Arabidopsis thaliana: one gene and its partners. The protein of the gene in region 1 interacts with the protein of each later gene in a pairwise test. Each region holds a gene or a part of one and is shown on either strand. Other genes may lie near its edges.

Region 1 (4,001 bases):
AGCATTGTTGGTTAACGCTAAAGCCGTGAGAGCGTCTGTGACGGCGGAGGATGAAGAAGCTTCACGACCGTCACCACATAGGCTGAACAAAATTTCAGCAGCTCGAGAAGGCGTGGCGCAGTGACGTAGGATGAGACCTTGAGGGAGAGCCACGAGGTTTGGACCGGAGCCGCATCGGCCGAGGCAAGCGCAGTGAGTGACTCGGAGTTCGGGAGGTGCGAGAGCTGTTAAAGTCTCGAGAATCTGGAAGGAGCCTTGTCTTCGGCAGGTGCGATTCGTACAAACGCGAATCTCCTTCACTTGTTCACCTGAGCTCCGGCAGCTCATCGCCGGCAAAGCGACGGAAGACATAACGATAAGAATATCGAACCACAAGAAGAAGAAAGATGCGCGCCTGACTAAATAAACCGAGATAATCAAATTAAAATGTATTAAATCCGGTTTGACTAAACCGGATATCACAATTGTACACTCTAATCAGCTCCCATTTTGCTTCGTTTCACACTCAAAGCCGAAGATAAAACATCACTAGACTAATTCTTAATCAAATTAGACAGCTCATAACTAAAATTTTGACTCAGAACCTTCCCATTATACTAAAGAATCCAAATATACCATTAGTAAGTACAAAGCCAAGATACAACAATTTTGCAATGTAAGCTTAAGAATATAAAACTAACGGTGGCTACGTTTCATTTATCTTCCTAAAGAACTTGTAGACTGGTGATTTCTCTTTACTTGCAACAACATCCTTGAAGATTACAAACAATATTAACAAGTCAGGAGCAACCATATACAACATTACTAAACAAGTCTTAAGCCTCCTCATTGGACATATACAAAAACTGGCAAGGACATGATCGTTAAGAGTTTCTCCAAATCATTATTGTGGATCGGCATCATCGTTTTGGTTTAAGAAGCGGAAACCCATGATGTATCTGTACTCTCCGGTGCCAAGACAGCGAGAACAGTCACTTAATCCACTCCCTCCACAACTCTTGCACCTGTGACCAAAACAACCAAAAAAAATTTTGAACTCCTTTAGTTCTTGAATCAAATAACAGATATAAAAGCCTCAAGAATACCATTTAGGCCATTCTCCTCTTGGAAGCATTTCCACATCCACACAATTAGTCCTCCCTTCAATCATATATCACAAAAAAGCAAGAATTCAATTCTCTGAAGTAGTTAATACGAAGAAATCAATCATAAGAGACATTTAAAGTTGAGAACCAGAGAGAGAAGTTATTTATCTTTACCTTTCCCACAACAATTGAAACAATCGACTCTTCCACTTCCATGGCAGATTACGCATCGTCCTTTCGCCTTCGACTTCATACACGTCTTAGCTCCAGACTGTTAACCATTGAATTCATTCTTATTAATGATATCAAGAGTCTAGAGATAGAAATTGGGGGTTTTTGGTTTCAGACCTGAGTTCTGACTATCCATGAAGGTTTGGTGAGATAGAGCCTAGTTTTTCCCTGCGTAGATTTTGAATTCGGAACGCCTTCCCCTGGCCGGACAGCCATCATCTCCGGCGGAGATAGACACGCGTTCACCGCCATCTCCGTCACTCTTCAGTCGTAACTCGTAACACACCACAACTGTTCTGTTCCTCTTCCTCATTCCAGTTTGTGTTCTCTCTCGGGCCTAAGGCCCATCTCTCAATAAACCCGTAAGAAAATTAACCAAACCGGACCGAGTTAGTGTGTTTAGGTCTGATTTAATTTTATTCGTTTCCTATGTAAAGTGTAAACCAAATAAAACACAAACTCAAAAGTGATTATTGAAATCATTACGGTTGTTATGGAGTATGGTGGACCAATCAATTGATGTTACTTGTCCAGCAATTAAAAATAATCACATTGGTGACTTGTATTTGCTTTCTCTTTTGTCAAATACTCAAAGATGTCTCTCTTCCATTGAATTAAAAATGATTTTGTTACAAGCAACCAAAATTGGATTATGAATGAATAAAGAATTAGAAAACAGAACCAACTTTGAGTTCATCATCCCATCTTTGCCAACCTTTTGACTAAAATTAAAGCCCACATGATGATTCTTGTTTTTCCAAAACCTCCATCTTCTTCGTCTTCATAGAGTCTTTTCTCTTCCTGTTTCACATTAGAGATTTAGAATCAAAACCTCAAAACTAACAGAAGATAAAAAAAAGAAAAGCCTGAATCATGGCCTTACAGTCGAAAGTAGCCCAGCTCGACGGTGGTGCTATGGTGGTTCTTCTATTCTGGTTTACTTCACTGGAGAAATTCTCATTCTTTTGATTTGGTTTCTTGAATTCTGGTAGAGGTACAACATATACATTCTCCTTCATATCTACCGAACCCTGCATTGCACAACAGTTTATGGAAATGATTCAAAATCCTTCTACAAAAGCTTTGTTAATTCTTGCCACAGGACAAACAAGGAAACTGAATGAATTTCCAATCTAGTGATCATACCAGAACCCAAAAAGATATAGATTTGTTGTCATACCGCACGAGTTCTCGTTTCTGGAGGTGTTACTTGAAGAACATGATGAAGAAGGATCTCTTCGTCAAGTGAAAGAGTTCTAGCTTTCTTTGGAGTTTCAGGTTTATATCCACTCTCTACCAAGTGACTAACTTTGCAGCTTAGCTGGCTAACTATAGGAGCCGGTTGAATCGCTCCCGGTGAAACCCATCTCTTCTCACTGTATCTAAAACACACACGAACAGAAGAAAAAAAGATTCAAGCTAAAGTTGTGTTGTAGCAGATGAGGAAGCAAAAGCGAACATAGAAAAGAATCAATACTTGGCTCTTATAAACGTGTCGCTTGAACTTCTCTCGAAATGTTGAGGCAATTCTGATTCCCAATACTCATTTCCCTTAGCATTACCGGTAGCTAGACCGAGAATAAGATGATCAAGCTATGGGATTGATACAAAATTCAACTACTGAATGTGTTCATTATATACAAAAGAGGAGCTTACATTTCATGAAAGCAACCTGATCTGGAAGCCATGTATCCAGAGTTATAGACCTTACCTGTGTCCAAAATTCATCAGTATCCCTAATTTGTATGATCCATTTACAACACAATCAATTAAAAGAGAGATTATTTAGGGACCTGAGAGATGTGGACGCCAAGGCTACGATGGATTCCAGAACATTGCATACAAATGAATATCCCAAGGTTCACACTTGCCCATCTTGGTGCCCTGTAAAATAGATAGATCCAAACAACACAATGCTCCTAAATCGTTTTTCTTACATGATCATGAAAGAGATAATGTTATCAAGATGCTTACTTTGATCTACAATCTGCACATTCTCGATTGTCTGGATGCTTCAAAAGTGCTTCCAATATCTATAACCCACACAAAATCTCTAACCTTTCAACTTTCCAGACGCAAAACCAATGGTGAAAAATCGAAAAGGAGGAGAAAAAAAGATGGGACCTTTGAATGCTTGGCGTTGAGCTCCTTGGAAACAGAGGCCTTCCTGTTCATTCTGATGAAGATGAATCAGAGAATGAGAGAGAAACAGAGGCAATTGAAAAATCAAACCAAGTTTGTAAACAGAGAGCCAAAATGGTTTCAAGGAAGAACGGATTTGAAGGAGAGGAGAGAAAAGAAATGACGGTTTCTCGTACCCTTTTATATCTGTCACTGCGACACATCATCTCTCTATTTTTAATCCAACATGGAGTCAAAGCAAAGCAATAAATTCAAATCCCTAGCTCTCGAAAACCCGACTTGATCACTATGCTCATACGAAGATTCCTTCGATAACCCAATTGAAAGAATCGTTTTTTCATCCCTTCTCGGTGCTAATCGCTCCTATCACCGGCGTCACAATCGGCGAATCACCAAAAACCCCTCCTTTACCTTCATTTTCCTCAGCTCAGGTTAGCATCTTCTCTCGTCTGAGCCTAAAGGGTTACAGCAAAAATCTATTTTTGTGTTCTTACCCCACGTAAGTCTGCGGTTTTAAACTGTTTTGACAATCATCAATCAGAG
Region 2 (7,337 bases), on another chromosome or scaffold:
TAGAAGATGTTTGACCTGGCTTCAGCCATTCCATTTTCAACTACTTGCATATTCTTGCAAATATACAAAGCGTTGGTGTCCGGGTCAGATACGAGCTAATATGAAGATGATCAAGTGCTTGGTTACACAAAACCACCATGTCAAAGATTTTATGCGAAAACCTAAAACACGAGCATGCATGTAGCTCGATTGTTCAACCAGAGAAATCAAACTCGGAGCTATACCGAAATTATGTTCTGATTGGACTAATCGACTTATAGACGCATGTTTTCATATCTAAGTTTTTGATGGCCTTTTTAGTCCATATAAGTTTTTTTAAAATGCAGCATACTAATATTTGAATTCAGACTCTATTTTGATCTAGACCTACTAGGAAAACTCAAACAAATTGAGTTTAGTGATATATTGAGAGGTAAAATACTAAAATGGTCTAACTAATACAACTTACATGTTTAGTAGAACTTAAATTATGCTTTATTTACAAGACTAAAAGAGTAGTTAAACTTGAAATCTTAAACTGTCGCCGTAGAAATAACAATTGGGTCAAGAAAAGTTTTCTAATCCTTATCAAAATAGAAAAGTTTTCTAATATAATAGAAAAAACACCCGTAAGTGGGAAAACATCTTCTACAAACTTAATAAGAAAAGGATATACATATCTCCAATCCACATGCGAATAGTTTTGGGTCAAATCTCTACGCTTCGCGTAACAAATTGAATTTGTCAAACAATTTGAGCATGACATGATGAAAAAAGGCCAGAGTCATGTTAATTCGTCGTATCGTAACTCCGACTTCTGACTTTCTCCATTCTTTTTAACGAAACGATAAGTCAACTTTTAACCGAAAAGGACTACAAGTCAATTTATTCATTAATGCTCTACGTGCATAGGTTATACTTATTGGTTACCCTATAGAAGTTGAACCGTGAGATCAAAAATCATGTTAGATAAACCGGCTCCGTTCTTTGTGACGTTGACATATATTTTTCTTAGGCCAGAGACTATAGCTAGATAAATAACTCCATTCTTGGCTGCTCGTAGGATACGAACCCAAAACTTGGTCATATTTTATCTCAAAAATAAGATCCCAAAAAATATCGACTATTAGAGCTATCGATACCATACGTGTTTCAAAGATGTAAATTTGAACCCCTCTACCTTGAAAGCGTGTATAAGGCTTATTTTCTGAAAAAAAGTGTTAGCTCATCTAACATATACAAAGATTAAAGATTGGATCGTTGACAGAAGAAAAGATTTACAAAAATTTGGATCTTGTGAATTAGTTACTATTGGGCTAAATAAAAGCCCATGTATGTATTTATTGGACCAGACCTAATTTTTGTACCAGGGCCTGAGGACTATATCCAACACAAACCACAATTTCAAATATTATTTTGGCGTTTTAACTTCTAAACGCTTTATCTTTATCATGCGACTTGCCAGATGCCAACCCAAGCCACGTGCATTACGATTCAACTAATTTTTTGTTGTCTTTTTTTCCCCTTTTTAACGAGGCAAAATAGTAGAAATATTTTTCTATTTTCATGAAATTGTAGAAGAAAATAGTAAAATTTCCGAATTTTCCTAATCTATAGTTTCACTTTAGATAAAATAATACTTAGCGTGACGAAGGCAACTGGCTTATTCAACTTTATGTGTTTAATAAAAGATAAAATAAATAATAATTTCGTATATATTTCTCTCCTTTGTTCATAAAATAATTAAAATATTTTTGATTGATTCTTTCGAAAAGTAAAAAAACTCATTTAATTACAAGAATATAATATATGTTAACCCACCATGACAAACATATATTTTGACATCTTAGATAACAAGTAACTAAATTAATTACATTCCTTTTTATTTTATTTTCTTTTTAATTTTATGTGAATGTAAAAAACAAGAAAAAAAATAAAATTTATTTTTCTCTCTCGCTTGGTTCAACCGTGGTTGTTCATCGGAAAAATATCTTCGGCTTCAATTTCGTTCGATTTACCCTAAATTCTCGACTAGTGTTCGTCAATCCCACTTCCAATTCCACATTTCAAACCTTTTCAGGTAATATTTCTCATATTTTTCGTGTTTTTTTTCGGGGTCAAACTTATTTTTTTAAAAATTTCAATTCAAATTTCGAGTTTGTATTTAGTAACCCTAGTTCTTAATTTTTCAATTTTTCGTCTTCCCTTATGAGATTTAGCTTAATTAGGGTATTGAATTAAGTAGAATTGGGTTTTTGTTTTTGTTGTGATCTGGTGAAATTAATTTTAGGGTTTTATTGAAGGTGAAATTTGTTTGTTCTTCGTTATATCTTCGAAATTAGGGTTTTTCAAATTTGTGTCGTGGATGTAAAAATTATGAATTGCCTGTAAAATTTTTCTGTCGGTTGCTAAATTTCTTGTGATTTTAGTTGATGATCGCTATGTAGAGTTTCGCCTTTTTTTTGGGATTTTGAATGTTCATGGTTTAGGATTCATTGCTCTGATTTGTAGGAAGTTGAAATCAAAAGCATGAATGCTTAAACAGTTTACGCATTATTGCGAAATGCAAGCCGAGCTGATACCCGAAGGTCCTAACGGTGAGGGCCGTTTATCAAACCAGAACAGCAACCCTAATTTACTCTCTTCTGCTTCTATCAGTATTACTCAGTTTCCTGGTATGTTGCATTGATTTAAAAGTTGTGCTTGTATGCTTGTTTTGTTAGCTTAGTTGATTTTTTTTAATGGAAATGGCGATGTTGCAGCTAAGAAGCCGACTAGGCAATGGGCTGCTTGGACACATCAAGAAGAGGAAAGTTTCTTCACTGCTCTTCGTCAAGTTGGAAAGGTATCACCTTGACGTTCTTCTTCTCTATGTTGTTAACCTGTTATGTGTGTGAACCTTCTCTTTGTGTTGTTTTGTAGAATTTTGAGAAGATAACTTCTCGTGTTCAGAGCAAAAACAAGGACCAGGTTGGTTGTTTTAGTTTTGTGTTTGTTTTCTTTTCGCTTGCACTTGCTGGTGTTTGCTTTTAGTTTCTGATGGTTGTGGAAACTTCTTGTGATTTGCAGGTCAGGCATTACTATTATCGTTTAGTGAGGCGTATGAACAAACTTTTGGGCCCGGATCTGAGCCTTGATGCCAAGAACCCAAAGGACACCAATGCTGCAATGCTACGATGGTACTTGATTTATACATTTCTTTTCTGTTATGCTTTGTGCTGGTATGGTAGATTGTTACGTTATCGTAAACAAATGATGAATATCACTCTCCGGGTATTTTTCTAGATAACAAGTTATAGCATGTTATGATACTATGAGTATTATTAAGTAGGCATGGTCACATTCATTTAAGGGTTCCATTTGCGTAAAGTAATTTCTGTAGTATAGCTATGCATTTCCTGCTAGTGACAATATAATGTTAAGGTAAGGTTTTTTGTTTTTTTCATGTGCTTTGATAATATCTGCCAGGAACCTCATACATGATCAGATAGTAGCAACTGACTTATATTTCAGACATCATAGCTTCTTCCATTCTCCTAGATGACATGATTTCACATATCATGATCTTAATTATCACTCAGCTCGTCTGACTAAAGTAAACATGCTTTTTCATGTGTCTTGCAGGTGGTCTTTGCTTGAAAAGTATAGCTGCAAAGCTTCAAAACTTCATCTCAAGCCCCGGAGATTCAAACTATTTATAGAGGCCTTGGTTAGTTGGCAAATGCGAATTTCGTTTAACCCAAAACCACCTTGGATTTGACAAGGAATCGTTTACAAACTATTGTCTAACAAAACCTTTTGCATGAAGGAACACCAATTGCTGAAAGACCGCAGAAAGAGCATAAGAAAACGGACTTGCCAGGGAGAAAATCTCTCTTCTGCTTCCCTCGGAAACATCTCAAGTCATAGTAGAGAAAGAGGATTGGATAACCGTCCATTTAAACTTATTCTCTCCGACGGCCAAAATGTTAAAAAGCTAGGGCCTGGAAGAGCATCTACCAAACATGGTGAAAGCTTAAGTGTCAACCTTGGTGACGAAAAAGAAGACACAGCCTTTGGGAGAGGTGGAAGGCAACGGCGAAAACAAGGTTCTTTCTTTACTAGTTTTTATGCATGTTTGTTAGATAGGCAGTTTTCTTCAGCCCCATATTGTGTGTGTTTTCAGTGTTCACACAAATTTGGACATTATCTGCTTTTAATCTTCCATGTTGATATTAGATTTTATGTTGCTATTTAAAAGCTTGATGTAGTTCCAGGTTCTTACGTGACTCTAAGCATCTCTTCCTTTTTCAGCAGGTTATAGAAAATGGGAAAAAGCTGCAATAGATGGGGTCTCTCTGGTTGCTGATGCTGCAGAGCATTTGGAACGAACATCAATTGACAAAGATATGGATGATCAAACAGGTTTACTTACTAGTATTGGATGATAGTTCCTTTTCTTAGATATATGTTTTTTGAGGACTAACATGTGCAAATTCTAAATCAGATTCTCTTTTTATCTTAGATTTAGGTCCCACAAGATATTTAACCGGAAAGTCTCCACTTTCTCTATGCTCAGCTGGTGATGTTCCTCTCAGTGATGCCAATATGCAGTTTTCTGCCAAGCTTAAACTTCAGCTGTTCCCGATTGATGAATGTACTCGAAGATCCTTGGAAATGGTAAGCTTCAAATAGGAATTATACTGATTGGAGCAATAATTTTCTGAGACATGAAATGGAGCTTGATCTGTTAACACTTAACACTTTAACAGGATAAGCACAATCCGCATCTTGAACTTACTCTTAGTAATCGCAAGAAGATATCATCTGTACTTGAACATCTCAATCGCAAATGGGGAAGCTCAAGTTGTGCGACTGGAGAGCTATTGCTATTTCCTTACAACGCACGAAAAGAAACTGTAACGTGCCATCAGAGGTGGACCCATGACTCTTTTCTAAGCGCAGCAGAAGTGCATTCAATGGTCGGAAGTCCTTCGGTTTTCCGCTTAAGGTTTGCTCTCATATTTTCCTAGTCTCTTGCAGGTTTCTTCTCGTCAAATTGTCATACAAGATAAACCAAAATTAATTTACTTATATGTATTTGCAGGTATGGTTGGTTTGTCCATGATGCGTCAGGTTCTATTATTTCTCAAGTTCCAACTTCAGATCCTTGCCCTTCACTCGAGGATGACATGAATGTGGATAGGTTGAACGAGGTCAACATGCTCCTTACTGAATCAGGACCCTTGTCTGTGCATTCAACTGCTGAACAAACGACATCTGTAGAGCCCAGTCAGGGTCTAGTATGTGCATCTGGTGTCCATGATCGTCCCGCAAGATCTAGAGATGATTATGAACCTGCTTCAACGAGTATTACTCCACTTGAGCATTTGAGCGGCGGTAATGCACAATCACCAGGAGAATGGGCTGATAGTCTTACTAACATAAGTATAGGTGATCTACTTTCTGAAGTGCCCGATGACATAGATAGTGATGGTGTTGATCCACCTGCCACCGAAGGTTCACATTACCTCCTTCGAGATGTCCCATTTACCTCTGACTCTTTTGATGCTGCAATTGCTGCTCATATACTAAGACACCAGAACAAGCCAAGTGCTCAACTACCGCTGACTTCTGGCTCTTCCTCTCTGTGGGATGATGAAGAAACACGTGATGCCTTCTCTTTCCAAAAAAATCGTTTCGCAAATTCCACCGAGCTGGCTAGTGTTGCTTCTCCTAAAGGTGTTGGCAGAGTAAATGGAGAGCCTTCACAGTTGGTGGAGGTAACTATATCAGCCTCAAATTCCACTTCCCTCAATTGTTTACAAAACTAAACCATCTGATTCAATACTTTCTCTTAGGCTTCATCCGGCGATGAGGGATCTTATAACCCTCATGACGATGGAGATCCAATGGAAGAGGGTCCAGCAGACCCTCATACGATGGATTCTCCAGGGAAGACCCCTTGTGGACTTGCGGATGTATACTGGGTAAATTTAGAAATCTCATATATTTCCCCAATGTAAAAAAGTCATATATATTCAACAACAACACATGTTTCCTCTTTGCAGCCCGACTCGTTAGGACCACTGGATTTAGACATTAGATCGTCAAAGTATACAGATGATTTGATCCTTAGTGAGAGCCTCGGGGGATTGAGCCGTCTGATAGCAACCAGCCTTGATGCGTTTCAGAACTGCTCGCTCTTTGGGTTCGACAATAAGAAGGACAAGTCTAACATGGTATGAAATGGAACCAAAGCTAAAGCATGGGGTCCAAATGTTGATAGTTGAAAAAGAAAGTGACTTCTTGCCTTTTGAAAAAAGAAACTTTTATCACCAACTGATAGCTTCACTGTACAAAAATTTGATGTAACCTTTTACTCTTCCTTTCACACATTCTTTTGTGTTGATACATGTTTCTCTGTGTACACTTTTACTGTTAATTTACATGTTTATTTGGCTACCATGCCTTCTTTCTTTTTTTTTTCTTTTTTTTTGTTCTTTTGTTTATAGAAGTTTCATGACAAATAAGAATTTCAATTAATATTCTTAAGTTCTTTTAAGAGTGCGAGTAAAAGAACAATCGTAGGACGCAAAATTTAACTCGCTCATTCAAGAGTAGTGTTGATAAGTCCTTTTTTTTTTCATTTCAATATTCTACCCGAAAAAGATTCCAAACTTCTACTTTTCTACACTTGATCACCACTATAATCGAAGATTTATGAACAATAGACTCTTTAATAAAGTAAATAAATCATTTAAAACTAAGTTTGTTTGTTGTCTTGATCATATGTGTTCAAATTGGTTTTCTCTTCTATTCTCTACATTAAAACATCCTCCAACATTCAGTTTTCTCACTCTCAATGAACCAGTAATACACACCCTAGGTGCACTAGATTTCATTCAAAACTAAATCTGGTTCACTAAACCAAACCATATTGATTTTCAGGAGGAAAACCACTTTTTTTAGTGTGTAGTACGAGTAAGTTTACACCCTGAGATGCAGGGTTTTTTCTTTGTCTTTTGCTAAGTGCGTGAGATGCAGTTTTACCCCTAGTTAGAGGAAAACAATGAATTTGTGTAATTTTAACATTTTCTTGTTATGAGGAATATGCTCTGAATAATGAGAACCATACAAGATACAACAATGACATAAGCCAAGTTGTCATAAAAGGCCAAATGTGCTTTAATGTGTGATACACCGCTTTACACTGGCCTACTCTTTCACTTCACGTCAAGTTCGTAAACGAAGAGACAATCTCTACGTGCCCTCCCCTTGAATATTCAGCATCATCTTCTTTTTTTGAAATCAAATTTGACGGCTTCTGTTGTCACAGGATATACTATAGACAACAAAACTACATATGATACAAGGCA
Region 3 (4,290 bases), on another chromosome or scaffold:
TTGTTCCCGTGGCTGTAGATGCTCGAGTGAGCATGTTCTATGGGACAACTGCGAGCGGGCTCAAGTGTTTAGACCCTATCTTCTTCCTCATGAACCCTAGGCCGGTTTATTGTCTTGAGATTTTAAAGAAGTTGCCAAAAGAGATGACTTGTGCAGGAGGCAAGTCAAGCTTTGAAGTTGCGAATTTCATACAGGGAGAACTTGCTAGGGTTTTGGGATTTGAATGCACTAATCTCACAAGGAGGGATAAGTACTTGGTTCTTGCTGGAAATGAAGGCATTGTCAGATAAACTATTCCGAATTTTCATTAGTTTTTTTGTTTGTTTGAAAAGCTAAATATTATTGTTATTTCAGGACTTAGATGTTTAATTCTATATGGTTGATTCATTGGCATCATTTCTATTTCTTATCACTCGGGACCATTGATATGTATTGAAAATGTTTGCTTTATATGATTTTGTTTCTGGATTTGTATAGTCCATAATCTCAACCTGTCGCTTTAGTGCCATTAATTTTATTCCTAGAACAAATGAAATGATTTCAGAGTTAGTTGAAATCAATATTAATTGTATACATCTAATCTAATAGTATGTTATTCACTTATTATTTACTTAATGATGCTCCTAAGTATTGATATCACATTAATAATCATGATCCCATATCACAACAACATTAACGTGAACGACCATATTAACTTCATATCACATCAAAATTTAATGTATCACCTTAGAAGATATTAATATTCACACCAAGAAAATGACTATACCTGTCTAAACAGAATGATTAAAGAAAGGAAAATTGCTAGATTAACTTTTCATACCAAGAGTGGCTTCCTTTCTTTAGTTCACTGCGCTGGTAAGTAATGCTTGAAGCACACTAACTGATGTTTGCCTCTTTGCAAATGATATTTGCGATTCTACACAAGCAAAACAAAACTTAATGGACTGAGTAATTCTGCAGTGTTAGAAGTAAAACTTAGTGATGCTTTGAATGCATTACCTTTCCCTCACACGACGAATCTCTTCAAGAATTTCTGCAGTCTGCTGAACCTTAAGATTCTTGGGTTTATCTTCATGATTAAGCACCAAGGATGCAACATTTACAACAGTAACTAGTTCAGCTTCGATTCTGCTAAGTTTCTGGTCTAAATTTTCCAAGAAAGATTCATAAGAAGACACTTCTTTCAGGATGCTACCTATTGAAACATCTTCTAGTACATTATTATTGGTATCAAGAAGTTCTTGGTAATCCTCAACATTCCTTTCAATAAGTTGAATTCCCTCAGAATCCAAGTGAGTGTGGTCATTTTCGACCCCGTCTTCAGTAGATTCGGGCTTTGGCGATACAATGTGGATACCACCTGAAGTATTCTCTCCATCCTCTTCGAGATCCAAAGATATATTGCCTATCAGCTGTGTTTCCTTGACAGATATTGCCTGAAACCAAACCAAGCTTTCAAGACATAGTTAGATAGATTTCTGGGGCAATTGAAAACAAACAAACAACCAAAACAATAACATTTCTTAACAAGTAAGAGTATTGTTTGTTTGTACCTCGTTAAGTTTGGAAGAAAGCGTATCGAGCAACTCGATACGAGCTTTAGCCTTGTCCAAAGCTTGCATAACTTTTTTCTTCTGAAGAAGTAGATCTCTGGCATCATTCTCTTTCCCTGTTCGAACATTGACAGCTGCTTGTTCCCGTAGATTCTCTGCAGCCTCAGATAATCTCAAAAGTCTCAACCTATTACTGTTTGCTGGACCAACAACAACAAAGACCAAAAATAAATCAAATTGACATCATCAATCACTGGATTCACAAGCAGTAAAACCATGCTGAAACCAGCACCTCATCTTTCCAAAGTCTACGACTTTGAAATCACACATTAAAACGAAGATTAGCGAATAAAGATTCCACCTTTGGCACGAGTGGACTCTGCCTCCGCGTGAAGCCGATCAAGCTGGGAGCGAAGAAGGTCAGAATTTGCGGTGGCAGAGAAGCATCTCAGGCTCGTTGGAATCCTCCGAGACTGAGCAATCACCACCGGAACTCCGCCGATGGTCGTCGTCACCATGTTTGGTCTTCTTACAAAGCGCACACGTTCTGTGACATTGCAGTCTCCGTTATCCGGTTAGTTCTACAAACCGATTTTGAATACCTGGTTCATCTAAACCGGTAATTAAGACTAAACCGGGGTGGGAAAATGAATTGAGGATGAGATTAGTATTTACCGTGACAGAGTTTTCCAACTTTGACGTCTCCGTCAAAATTTGATTTCTCTTCTGTATTTGACGACGACACTTCAATCAAAATCTGGAGTCAGATACAGTTCCCTAGATCGAGAATCTCCAGGCGCTTTGTAATCCTGTTTAGTATATCTTTGTCAAGTTCTCTGTCAGAGATTTACCGGGTAAATTTTGAATCTTGGATCAGGTTTTTGTCAATTTCAGATTTGTAATCTCCCGCTTCTTACTGTAGGAATCGATCAGAAGATATGAACTGGGTTCAACGCAAAATCTACCTTTATAATGTCACATTCGGGCTCTACATGCTTGATTGGTGGGAACGATACCTCTTCAGTATCCTTTTTTCCTCACTCTATCCCTCCATGCTTCATTCGTTCTCTCCATCGATTTTGGTTTATCTGTGCTCCAATTTCGATTTACCCTTTCATTAGAAAGATGCAAGTTTTGATTTTTACATCTTTGGTGATATATGGTGGCATTGTGTTCTGTTCTCTTGTGTTGTCGTCTTAAGCATTGTGTCTGTTCAATTTTAGAATTTTGTTTTTAAAAAGCTACTTTCTTAAAATTTTGTCTTCAACTTCAGAGTTTGGATTATAGTCTCTACTGAATAATATACTGTCAATTGAGATAATTTTTTGCTAGTTTACAAGGACTTAAGATCTTTGCTTGCATCTTCTTTGCCTTTCCTCAACTCTTTTCAGATTCTTTGGTGGTTGTTTTGATGTGGTTCGTTTTATACAACGGTACTCGCTACTTTTCGGAGCTTTTCCAGAGGTAAAACACTTGATGATGCTCTTTGCGCACACCTTAAGCTTGTTAAGGTTTCCTTGACACTAATTTTGCTATTGTTGTAACAATTTTTGGTACTTATCTAGTTCTTTTTGCTACTTTGGTCTTATGGTTTCATTAGCGGGTTTCTAAGTGATGAGTGTTATGATACAATATGCTGTTTGGCCTCATCTTCATCTCTGAAACAAGTTTCACGGTTTCCCATGATTCGTAGTATATGTTTTCACAAAAGGATAAGTCCATCATTTACTTAAACATTATCCTACCTTCTCTTGTGCATTTAGTTAGGGTAGATATTAAGCCTCCCCAGAAGGTGATTGGATTGGAGTTAGAGAAGTCTTTAGTTTGCCTGATGGACTTACTGCTGCTGCTTGCTATCTGAATCTTATTATGCTGATTGTTCGAAACTTTTGAGAAGCAATTGAAGCTCTTTCATGATAATTTCTTGTATCCTCGCATTGCAGGCATTTGACATGAAAACATGTCTTGTTTCTCGCACAGTAGAGCACGAAAAGCCTAGATCATCCAAAGGCATGTACGTTTGGTTCCAATTTCTGAGACGTATACCAGCAAAAATCCCTCTTTCGGCGTCACCTCTGTTTTTGTTAATTTTCCTCCAAAGGCTCTAGGACAGTTCTTATGTCTCTATATTATTTGTTCCCATGTTTTTGCAATTAACAGAAATGATTTTGTAGACTCGTAAGATCGCAAGTCTTCCTGTTGTATTTCCAGTTCACTTAGAGACATAATAACATAGTTGCAGGAGTTAATGAACTTGCGGATTACATATAACAGAGCATAATTTTTAAGAGGGAGCTCTGTTCTAAATCTACAAACGAACTTAGGAAGAATCAGGGGTAACCCAATCCTTTGGCATTGCAGAGTTGAAGATCTGAAACAGCAAAGCTTGATCTCTCTTGCCTGGTCTTTTTGAACCAAATCCTTGATGCAGACCAAGTTCAACCGCTTCTCTTCCTTCTTCCGCTATTCTTTTCCTAATAGCTACCAAAGAATTTTGCGTCTCATCACAAGCTGCTACATGTCCATTTTCAGTGTTCTCTCCTCCACCATCTTCTCGTCCGCCTTTCTCTGCCCTTCCCCACCATTTGTTTGACACAGTTGTTAACCCGCCTGATGGGAATCCAAATTTGAACTCATCTACAGCTGCCACTGTCTTTGCCAAGTTAGTATTAGCCCATACATTTGACTTGCCACTCTTGTTTCCCCCATGCTGCACCGTCGAATGCATCATCGTGTG

Evidence for each region. The genes of interacting proteins can lie anywhere in the genome.
Region 2: the proteins of ENA (region 1) and TKI1 interact in a two-hybrid assay, tested with the Arabidopsis thaliana proteins (one large-scale study listed by BioGRID).
Region 3: the proteins of ENA (region 1) and AT1G06510 interact in a two-hybrid assay, tested with the Arabidopsis thaliana proteins (one large-scale study listed by BioGRID).

What each region holds. Positions count from the first base shown.
Region 1 is NC_003074.8:6,037,207-6,041,207, reverse strand, and holds ENA (DnaJ/Hsp40 cysteine-rich domain superfamily protein), read right to left. Parts: upstream 1,801-4,001; 5' UTR 1,569-1,800; coding exon 1,434-1,568; intron 1,357-1,433; coding exon 1,260-1,356; intron 1,141-1,259; coding exon 1,086-1,140; coding exon of another isoform or gene 1,076-1,085; exon of another isoform or gene 1,005-1,075; coding exon 884-1,004; 3' UTR 575-883; downstream 1-574. Other genes in the region: AT3G17670 (tetratricopeptide repeat (TPR)-containing protein), read right to left, coding at 1-351; AGD15 (ARF-GAP domain 15), read right to left, coding at 2,156-2,347, 2,497-2,698, 2,794-2,884, 2,973-3,027, 3,110-3,200, 3,291-3,349, 3,441-3,491.
Region 2 is NC_003071.7:15,521,040-15,528,376, forward strand, and holds TKI1 (TSL-kinase interacting protein 1), read left to right. Parts: upstream 1-1,880; 5' UTR 1,881-2,059; intron 2,060-2,429; exon of another isoform or gene 2,430-2,490; 5' UTR 2,491-2,512; coding exon 2,513-2,654; intron 2,655-2,741; coding exon 2,742-2,824; intron 2,825-2,901; coding exon 2,902-2,949; intron 2,950-3,048; coding exon 3,049-3,158; intron 3,159-3,603; coding exon 3,604-3,688; intron 3,689-3,787; coding exon 3,788-4,067; intron 4,068-4,272; coding exon 4,273-4,383; intron 4,384-4,483; coding exon 4,484-4,638; intron 4,639-4,730; coding exon 4,731-4,969; intron 4,970-5,065; coding exon 5,066-5,741; intron 5,742-5,819; coding exon 5,820-5,948; intron 5,949-6,029; coding exon 6,030-6,206; 3' UTR 6,207-6,457; intron 6,458-6,592; 3' UTR 6,593-6,719; downstream 6,720-7,337.
Region 3 is NC_003070.9:1,990,170-1,994,459, reverse strand, and holds AT1G06510 (forkhead-associated domain protein), read right to left. Parts: upstream 2,232-4,290; 5' UTR 2,072-2,231; coding exon 1,915-2,071; intron 1,754-1,914; coding exon 1,554-1,753; intron 1,437-1,553; coding exon 1,000-1,436; intron 917-999; coding exon 877-916; 3' UTR 619-876; downstream 1-618. Other genes in the region: GPAT1 (glycerol-3-phosphate acyltransferase 1), read left to right, coding at 1-290; AT1G06515 (transmembrane protein, putative (DUF3317)), read left to right, coding at 2,492-2,576, 2,945-3,017, 3,497-3,509; AT1G06500 (uncharacterized protein), read right to left, coding at 3,874-4,284.